2 linked regions of the Nothobranchius furzeri genome follow. The protein of the gene in region 2 purifies or fractionates together with the protein of the main gene of each other region. This does not show direct contact. Links are inferred from orthologs where the notes say so. Each region holds a gene or a part of one and is shown on either strand. Other genes may lie near its edges.

Evidence for each region.
Region 1: the proteins of ubxn2a (region 2) and ppp1r11 purify together in Homo sapiens (affinity purification with mass spectrometry; 3 studies listed by BioGRID and IntAct, counting the BioPlex papers as one, with this or other methods). This does not show direct contact. The link is inferred for Nothobranchius furzeri from reciprocal best matches to the Homo sapiens genes UBXN2A and PPP1R11.

Annotation. Positions count from the first base shown.
Region 1 is NC_091751.1:25,909,039-25,913,473, forward strand, and holds the start of ppp1r11 (E3 ubiquitin-protein ligase PPP1R11), read left to right. Parts: upstream 1-1,413; 5' UTR 1,414-1,618; coding exon 1,619-1,696; intron 1,697-1,771; exon of another isoform or gene 1,772-1,787; intron 1,788-2,320; coding exon 2,321-2,429; intron 2,430-4,360; coding exon 4,361-4,435. Other genes in the region: vars2 (valine--tRNA ligase, mitochondrial), read right to left, coding at 667-858. UniProt on the Homo sapiens protein: Atypical E3 ubiquitin-protein ligase which ubiquitinates TLR2 at 'Lys-754' leading to its degradation by the proteasome.
Region 2 is NC_091742.1:21,872,331-21,876,721, forward strand, and holds the start of ubxn2a (UBX domain-containing protein 2A), read right to left. Parts: upstream 2,835-4,391; 5' UTR 2,311-2,834; coding exon of another isoform or gene 2,294-2,310; intron 2,027-2,293; 5' UTR 1,950-2,026; intron 1-1,949. UniProt on the Homo sapiens protein: Acts to repress the ubiquitination and subsequent endoplasmic reticulum-associated degradation of CHRNA3 by the STUB1-VCP-UBXN2A complex in cortical neurons.

The sequences.
Region 1 (4,435 bases), on a different chromosome or scaffold from region 2:
CTGGTCAACAGACATAACCCAACTTGTGAAGAGAACACATCACTGACTCAGGAGGAATAACCTGCAGAGTAAGGCGCTGGTGGTCTTCCACCTGACAACCATGGAGAGCATGCTCCAACACATAATACAGAATAATCTGAAGAAAAGGTACATGTATATACACATAGTCAGTATTCAAGTATTGTTGGGTTCTCTGCTGCTGTAGATAAAGGGGCTCTGCAGAGGATCATCAAATCTGCAGAGCAGCTCACCAGCCGTCATCATCACTCCCTGGAAGATCTCACCACCTCACACTGCATCAGCAGGGCCCATGACATCATCCATGACCACTCCCACCCCGGCCAACATCCATTTGAACTGCTGCCATCCAGTAGGCACTATAAAGTCTCAAAAGCAAGAGCCTGCAGACTGAGAGGCAGCATCTTCCCCAAACAGCAAATGAACCAAAAAAATCTCTTGAACAGTCGTCAGTGCAATAAATCCACTATTACTATAATAACCTAACTGTTGCATTCATTAAAGTCATATTTCTATGTATATATTTGTATTTCTACCTTTTTTCTTATATCTCATCTTGCATTTTTTAAATTTCTTAAGCCTCACACACATACTTTTCTGACTACTGTAAGCTCGTCAGGTTTTATTAGCAGGTCTGACCGGACTTACTGTGTGCGGGCTGGACAGGACGAGCTTCTCCCGGTCCCGTTTGCGCCTCCGCTTCTCCTCCTGAAGCCGGGCAGAGGGCTTTGTTTCTGGGAGGTTCGGCTGAGAGGAGACGGTGGTCGAAAATACGGAGGAGTTGTTGGAACAGCGTCTGGCTGTTCTGGTCCCTGAAAGCCTCCGAGCTGCCCTCCACATCCTGAGTTAAACACTACAATATATATACATAAAATATAGAGCTAAAATATATTTTTTGTTGTTTTTAGATATGTCTAAAATGGTAAAGTGCACAGTCCATTCATATCTGTTACGCCTAACTAAATTAAATAACTTTAGGGGTATTCAGGTTCTTACGACTTAATGCTATATAAACACCTCTCCGTTATATATACTTTTGAGCTGGTGCCATTGTAAGTCTGTTTATAATCTCAAGCGTTTGTTCTGTTTACCGACCTCACGGACATTGGAAACAAACGCTTGTCCGTCACAAAATAGGTTCCCCGCAAACATTTCCGCTGTCAAGTTGAACTCAAACACACACAGAACTGAAATATAAAGTAAATGTCTTGTTCTGTTTTAAGATCAGATAATCCACCACAGCCTTGTACAATAGATATTGCAAAAAAAGTTTAAAACACATCTGCAGTTAAATTAATGAGTCTAGAAATGAGCTCTCTACCTCGGACTTGCCTTGTACTTTTAGGATTTTGAAAACCATTAACTTCCGTTTAGAGTCGCGTTAGCGTGATTCACAATTTGCGACCAGTTCCTATTTATTGCAACTAATAATTTTAAGGACAATATTTGTTTGCTTTTTCAACAAAGCTTGTGAATTAACGATTTAGGGTCGGTTACTGACGCTTCCACAGATTCGTGTTGACGCGTCACAGACCCCCGACTCCACTGGTTCTGCGTCTGATTTCAAGGTAAAGGTAGCATTAGCCTAGCAGCTCCAGGGATGGCGGAGGTCCCCGGGACGTCGAGTGAAACCATAACGGAGACTGTCCAGACTGGCACTCCGCCGCCACCCCAACAGGTATACGCTATCGAACTGGTCGGTAAACACTTTAATTGATTTTAGGGTTAAACCAGTCCGGTGTTCAGGACCTACCGAGGCCGCGTCGCTAACAACCAATGTTTCATCTGCTGTCGTAATTGGATGTGATGTGTTGATTTTTGATTTAACCTGAATAATCAGCCTGTCATGTCTTAGCTGTTTGTATGGGTTGTTGCAATATTGTGGGCGTTAACAGAACTCGTGACAAGGACCATTTGGGTTTCAGAGATGAATTGTTCTTCAAAACCGAGACTAGGCTCGGATCATTTATCACCGACGGTGAACAAATACAACATAAAACAACTTTAGACTCTGCTATCCGACGTTTTTCAGCGAGACTCCATCAGTAGGCTAGATCTTGTAGATTAAAATGCGATTGCGTTGTCTGGCGACCCTTTTTTCGGTAGCATCACCGGTTGCTGTTAGCTACAGGAAGCCGTGTTGTTGACGCTCAGTGGTAGGTAGGGTGGTGATAATGAATGTCTTATACATGGTCTGTCATGGTTCTGTTGGTGGAGTGTGCTTGTAGCATTTGTGATGCCATGTCATGGTTTCTTTTATAAACACTCAGTACTGCTCCTGTTGACATCTGATGTTTCTCAGGAAGGACGAAGCCTAACCATCAAGCTGAGGAAGAGGAAGACTGAGAAGAAGGTGGAGTGGTCCAGTGACACTGTTGATAATGAGCACCTGGGGAGACGGTCCTCAAAGTGTGAGTTCACATATCTTCTCAGAAAATAGAGGACCATCGTCGGGTGGTCAGGATCGCTGGGTCAAAGGTCAAGGTGCTTTCTCAGGTTGAGAACTTCCATTTTCGTTATTTCCATGCAGGGTGGGGGGTGGGGGTGGCTGGTGCCTGGTGCCTATCTCCAGCTGTCTCTGGGCAAGCAGATGGGGTCAACCAACCTGACAGTCATGGTTATGGATTGTGGGAGGGAGTTGGAGTGCCTGTAGAGAACACACGTGTGCACAGGGAGAACATGCAAACTCCTTGCAGAGAAACCCCAGGCTGGGATGTGAACCCAGGACCTTCTTGCTGCAAGGCAACAGCGCTAACCACTGCACCACTGTGCAGCCCCAGGTTCAGAACTTAAACAATGAAATCAGAAATGGCTGAGACATCTTAAGGTGTCTGGTTAATCGCCCACAGCACTTGAGTCTTGGTTTAGTTTGTTGGTGTTTCATCTTCTTCTTTGGATCTGGGTTGCAGCCCAAGCAGAAAAGCCCTGATTGTCCTCACACCAGCATCCTCCACCAGTGGGAACAACGCCATGGCTAGCCTGGAGATATAATCCCTCCAGCATGTCCTGTGTCGACTGAGGGGCCTCCTGCAGGCAGAACGCTCCCAAAACATCTCCCTTGGGAGATGTCCAAGCGGCAGCCTGACAAATATCTGAAGCAGGTTAGCTGGTTCTTCTCCGTGTGGAGAAGCAGCGGTTACTTAACCCTCTCTCACAGGCTGAGCCCGGCTATTCTGCAAAGAATAGAAGAGACTTTATTGATCCCACAGTGGGAAAATTCACTTGTTACAGCAGCACCAACACTTAAGAGAATAATTAGAAGAAAAAGTAATATTATTGTAACCTTTGAGCACAAAAAAAATCACTAATAAAAATGAAGCTTTGGGTTCCAGAACTATGCAGCATGCTGTAAGGGACACATACTGAGCATTGCATTGATGTTATTGTGTATCAGGATAATGCCAGCTGCAGTTAAACTGAGAAGGAAAGTCATTTGAACAGCTTGTATGGTCTTGGTCTTTCTGTCATAACCGACAGCTCACGACCGCAGTGAGTTCAGAGCTTTGCTTTCTGGCTTAGCTCCTTTTCACCACAACAGATCGCTCTGTTGCTCCCCGAGATATTTTTACAGTGACCTAGGCAGAAGCAGCTAACCTAGTGTGTTGTTCTGCTGGTACTAGCAGCTGCTTCTGTCTGAACTGGATCCGTTGTTCTGCCCAGTTTTTCTCCTTCAACTACCAAACTAATCCAAACCTAAACATGTCAGACATCTCTGAATGTGCTTGAAAGGTGTTGCCATCATCATAAAAATCTTTTTATTTATAGAAAAACACAAATATTGGCACAAAATCTCCACTCGGGAAGTCAGAACACCTAATAAAATGGTGCAGTTTGGGCGTGTCTGGTCTACATGCTGGAACATCTGGAGCTGGTACCAGAGGACATGAGAAGAGTGACGCTGTTGCCGGGTAGTTTATGGAGGACGGTCAAACCATGAGTAAAGGTCATCAGACATGGAGGATGGCAGGGTTAAGATGGGACAGCGCCACCTTACCCCTCCTGAGACACAACTCTGGTACTGTTGACGTCACCTGTCCAACCCCCGACCATCTGCAGATACACCTGGTGGTGGTGACAACCCCAGTGGAGATCCAGGACCTGGTACTGACCTGCTGGACCTCCAGTTACAGCCTTGCTCTGTTCCGATGATGTCATCATCCCTGTGCAGGTTCATGATATTTGAATGGGCCCAGTCTGGTTTGCAGGCCGCTCTTCATCTGAGTCATGAATTGGTTTTAGATTTACTTTGGTTTGATGTTGTAACTAGAGCTGGTTTTGTGGAACCTCTGAATCCAGATGTTCTGGTTCTGTTCTGATCCTGGACCTGTGTGTTGATTTCCAGGCTGCTGTATTTATGAGAAGCCCAAACAGTTTGGAGAGTCCTCGTCTGAGAGCGAAGGAGACGATGAAGACGAGG
Region 2 (4,391 bases):
TGGGGTTTGATTAGTTAAGTTTCTCCTTCACGAGGCTGCACTAGACCACACAGTTCGGCTTGTTTGGGTGTTTTCTCCTCAGGTGACCCAGGTTCTTTGTGCCCACATGGCCGAGTCTTTGTAAAACCAAATATAGGAAGAAAACTGGTGGTTCGCACCTCCTCATTTTCAGCAGAAATCCTGCGAAGCACATTTATAGGTGTGCCGAGCCTGTGGGAGCAACGTTTCCCCAAATCTTTCCTCGTGTGTCTACAGCGAGCGTTTGTACTAATGGGTGATGAGATTAGGAGTTGGTTTAAGTTTGTAAAGTTCGATGACAAAAGATTCCATCAAAAGGACAGACCGAAATGTCAATAAAAACTCTCTGCTGACTGAAATCAGCTTATCGAGTGACTCTGTGGTGGCATCAGCGATCCTGTACAGTGTGGTCTGTTGGAGGAGCAGCATTACAGAGAGAGAGAGAGAGGAAGAAGCTGGACAGGGTGATCAGGAAGTCCAGCCCAGCTCTGTCCTGGGTTGTCCTCTAGACTCCTCAATACGGGATGGGGGGGGGGGGGGGGGGGGCAGGATAATCCATGTACAGGGTATCTGCAGGTTTAAGGGAGCCAAATTTAATACTTTTTAAGACCTTTCTTAAGACCACTTTGACCAAATTTAAGCAACTTTTAAAAATTTTATTTAAGCTATAATTTCCAGCTATTGCCTGGAACCGGTGCTAACCACGTCGCGAAACATGGGATTAGCCATCCAGTTACCATTACTGTTGCACTTCCCCATGGCGCAAGCTCCCACTAGCTTAACCAGCTAATGTGCTCATCTAAAAGTAGCCCTCTTTCACAACCAACTGAATGTGTACGGTTCCGCTTACGGCAACATCGTACACAAAAAATGCCGAACACCAACTACAAATTCACAAAATTTTTTATAGAAATAAAAGAATCTTGTTTATTGGGTCTTTAGTAATTTAAGACCTTTGGAAACTGTATTTAAGGATTATTTGTCATTTTTAAAGATTTTTAAGGCCTTAAATTTGGAAAAGCTAATTTAAGACTTTTTAAGACTTTTTAAGGACCCGCGGATGCCCTGATGTAAAATCGTGATCCATGCTGGACCACGAGTCACACCGCCTACATGACGCTCTGTCTGCTCTGGAGAGCAGCTTCAGCGACACACTGATCCGTCCTCGCTGTGAAGGAGAGATACTGCAGGTCTTTCTTTCCTGCTGCTGTTAGACTCTAACGGACACTTCTAATATGCAACTTATCCCTCTGTAACATGCCAGTACAACGGTCATCATCTTTTAAGACGTGTGCGTTATTTACATTACTATTGCTAGTCTGTGTAATAATTGTCTTCACTAAAAATTCAACTATTTACTGCGATATCTTGTGTGCTACTGCTGTTTTACTGTACTTGTTACTTGTGTTAAAAACCAGAACTTTCAAATTATTCAGAAAAAAAATTGTTAATAGTTTTGAGATACATTGGAGTTGGCCAATCAATAAATCAGAACTCCATCCATCCATCCATCCATCCTGTTCCGCGTATCCAGAGTCTGGTCACGGGTCACTAAGGCAAGAGGCCCAGACTTCCCTCTCCCCAGCCACTTGGGCCAGCTCCTCTGGGGGAATCCCAAGGTGTTCTCTGGCCAGCCAAGAGACATAGTCCCTCCAGCGTCTCCTGGATCTTCCTTTAGGTCTCCTCCTGCTTGGACGTGCCCAGAAAACCTCACCTGGGAGGTGTACAAGAGGCATCCTAACTAGATGACAGAACCACCTGAACAGTCAGAGCTGTACAAACAACAATCTGTGGTATTGGTCCACAAAACCACAATCGGTGCATGTGTAGTTTAGATTCACCAAACAGCCAAGGCAGCTTATCTGATTATTATATAATTTGATCTAAAGAAGTCATTTAATGAGGTGAAGAATTCAAGCGCTTAGTGGTACCTGCACTCATGCTGTGAATGCCAGGGCCTTGTAGCTTTAAGGGCATCCTCTCCAGGTATTCTGGACCAGCCTCATTACTGTAATTGTCAGGAGTTAAACTGATAAACACTGGTCCTCTCCTCTTTGTCTGAATTAGCTAACAAAATGTATTAAATGTCTCTTGGTTTAACAGTGACGTTTCCATAATAAAGGCAGAAAGCAGGCAGCCTGTGGCGTTATAGCTCATTTGAATCCATAAACGCTCAAACGACACACAAGCTAAACAAAACATGTGGATTTTTTAGACAGATATAGACACACAATAGGCGTATTCGCATGCGAGTGTCAAGCGGAAGGTGAAATACCAAAATGCCAGTCTCATCGACTCATCTTGAGCTGCACGTCTGAAGCCTGAAGTTTCAGGCAGCGGCTTTTCTGCTGGATCAAGCTAGCTGGGTAAGTGACATAACAGTGCCGTATGTCTGCAGCTGGTGTCGTAAAACGTGTCGCGAACTCTGTTTAATCAATCAATCAAAGCTTTATTTATATAGCGCCTTCCGCAACCCTGTCGGGTAGCCCAAGGCGCTGAACATGGTACATGACAAAGTAAAATATGGTGAATAAATCAAAAATAAAAGCAGTTCAGATTACAAATTACAAAAAAGGTAAAACATTCTAGTAGAGGACAAATTGGTAAAACAATGGATTGAGTGAACCAATGAAAACAGGGAAATAAAATCAACATTAAAGATGGCCAAATTAAACACGTTCAGGAAACGCCAAGCGGAGGAGGTGGGTTTTTAGGCGACTCTTAAAGACTGGCAGAGATGAGGACAGCCTAACTGAGGGTGGCAACTGGTTCCAGAGTGACGGTGCTAGGACTGAGAAACCCCGGTCCCCGCGAGTACGACACCTCGAACGAGGGACAGCGAGCAGGCCTTGGTCAGAGGAGCGCAGAGCGCGTGATGGGGAATATCTGTTCAGGAGTGTGGCTAGATAGGGGGGAGCATTACTCTGGAAGAAATTGTAGACAAAGACGAGGAGTTTGAAGTGTGAACGATAACAAACCGGAAGCCAGTGCAGGGAGGCCAGAACCGGACTGATGTGGTCCCGTTTCCTGGTCCCAGTCAAGAACCTGGCTGTGCTGTTCTGCACAACCTGTAGGCGACACAGTGATGACTGACACAACCCTGCATAGAGAGAGCTGCAGTAATCATGCCTAGAAATTACAAATGCATGCAGTACCCGCTCCAGGTGGGCTCTTGACAGCATATGCGTGATTTTTGCAAGGCGTCTCAGGTGAAAGAAACTGGACCGGATCACAGAGTTGATGTGGACATCAAATTTAAGTCCAGCATCAACTTTCACCCCCAAACTGGTGACGACTGGTTTTGAGTAGGGAGAAAGAGGGCCAAGATCAACATAACGACCCACATTCCTGCTGTTGGGGTGAAAAACAATGAACTCTGTCTTTCCCTCATTCAGATGCAGATCGTTGGCCATTAGCCAAGACTTCACCTCGTTAATGCAGGACACAAAGGACTGGATAGAGTGACCTTTCTCCTGACACAATGGAGAGTAAATCTGGCAATCGTCAGCATAGAGATGGAATGATAGGCCATGTTTACGAATGACTGACCCCAGAGGAAGCAGATAAATGGTAAACAAAAGAGGACCAAGGATCGATCCCTGCGGGACCCCCCAACGGAGCCCCTCCCAAGAAGAAAAAAACATCACCCAGTTTAACACAGAATGTCCTGTTGTGGAGATACGATCTAAACCAATCCAGAGCTGACCCTTTGATCCCAACCCATCGTTCTAAGCGATCCAGTAGAATCGTGTGGTCAACTGTGCCGAAGGCTGCCGTCAGGTCTAACAACAGAAGCACCACAGATGTACCTTGATCTAGTGATAGATAGATGTCATTTAGGACACTCAGTAGAGCAGACTCTGTGCTATGGCCAGACCTGAACCCTGATTGGAAAACCTCAAACAGATCAGAGTCAGCTAAATGTGAGACCAGCTGCTGATAAACGACTTTCTCAAGCAGTTTTGATGTAAAAGGCAGGGTAGAGATAGGCCTGTAATTTGTGATCACAGAGACATCAGCACCAGGTTTCGTCAGGGTCGGCCGAACAACAACTGCTTTCAAAGCAGCTGGGACCACACCTGTGCTGAGGCTCCCATTGATAATCTGACCGAGTGAAGGGCCAAGACACGGAAAGGCAGCCTTCCAGAGACGAGGCGGCAGAACTTCAAGTGGAGAGCCAGATGGCCTCTGCCTTGCAACAAGCTTACTCAGCTCAGAATAAGAAACAGTATTGAGGGAGCTCAGGGTGGGTGGTGATGGAGGAACTGGAACAGGGTCAATAGAGTTACCAGAAATAGCTGCTCTAATGCCTGATACTTTATCAACAAAGAATCTGTGAAAATCTTCAGAGTTTCCAGCAGCTGTAGGAGACA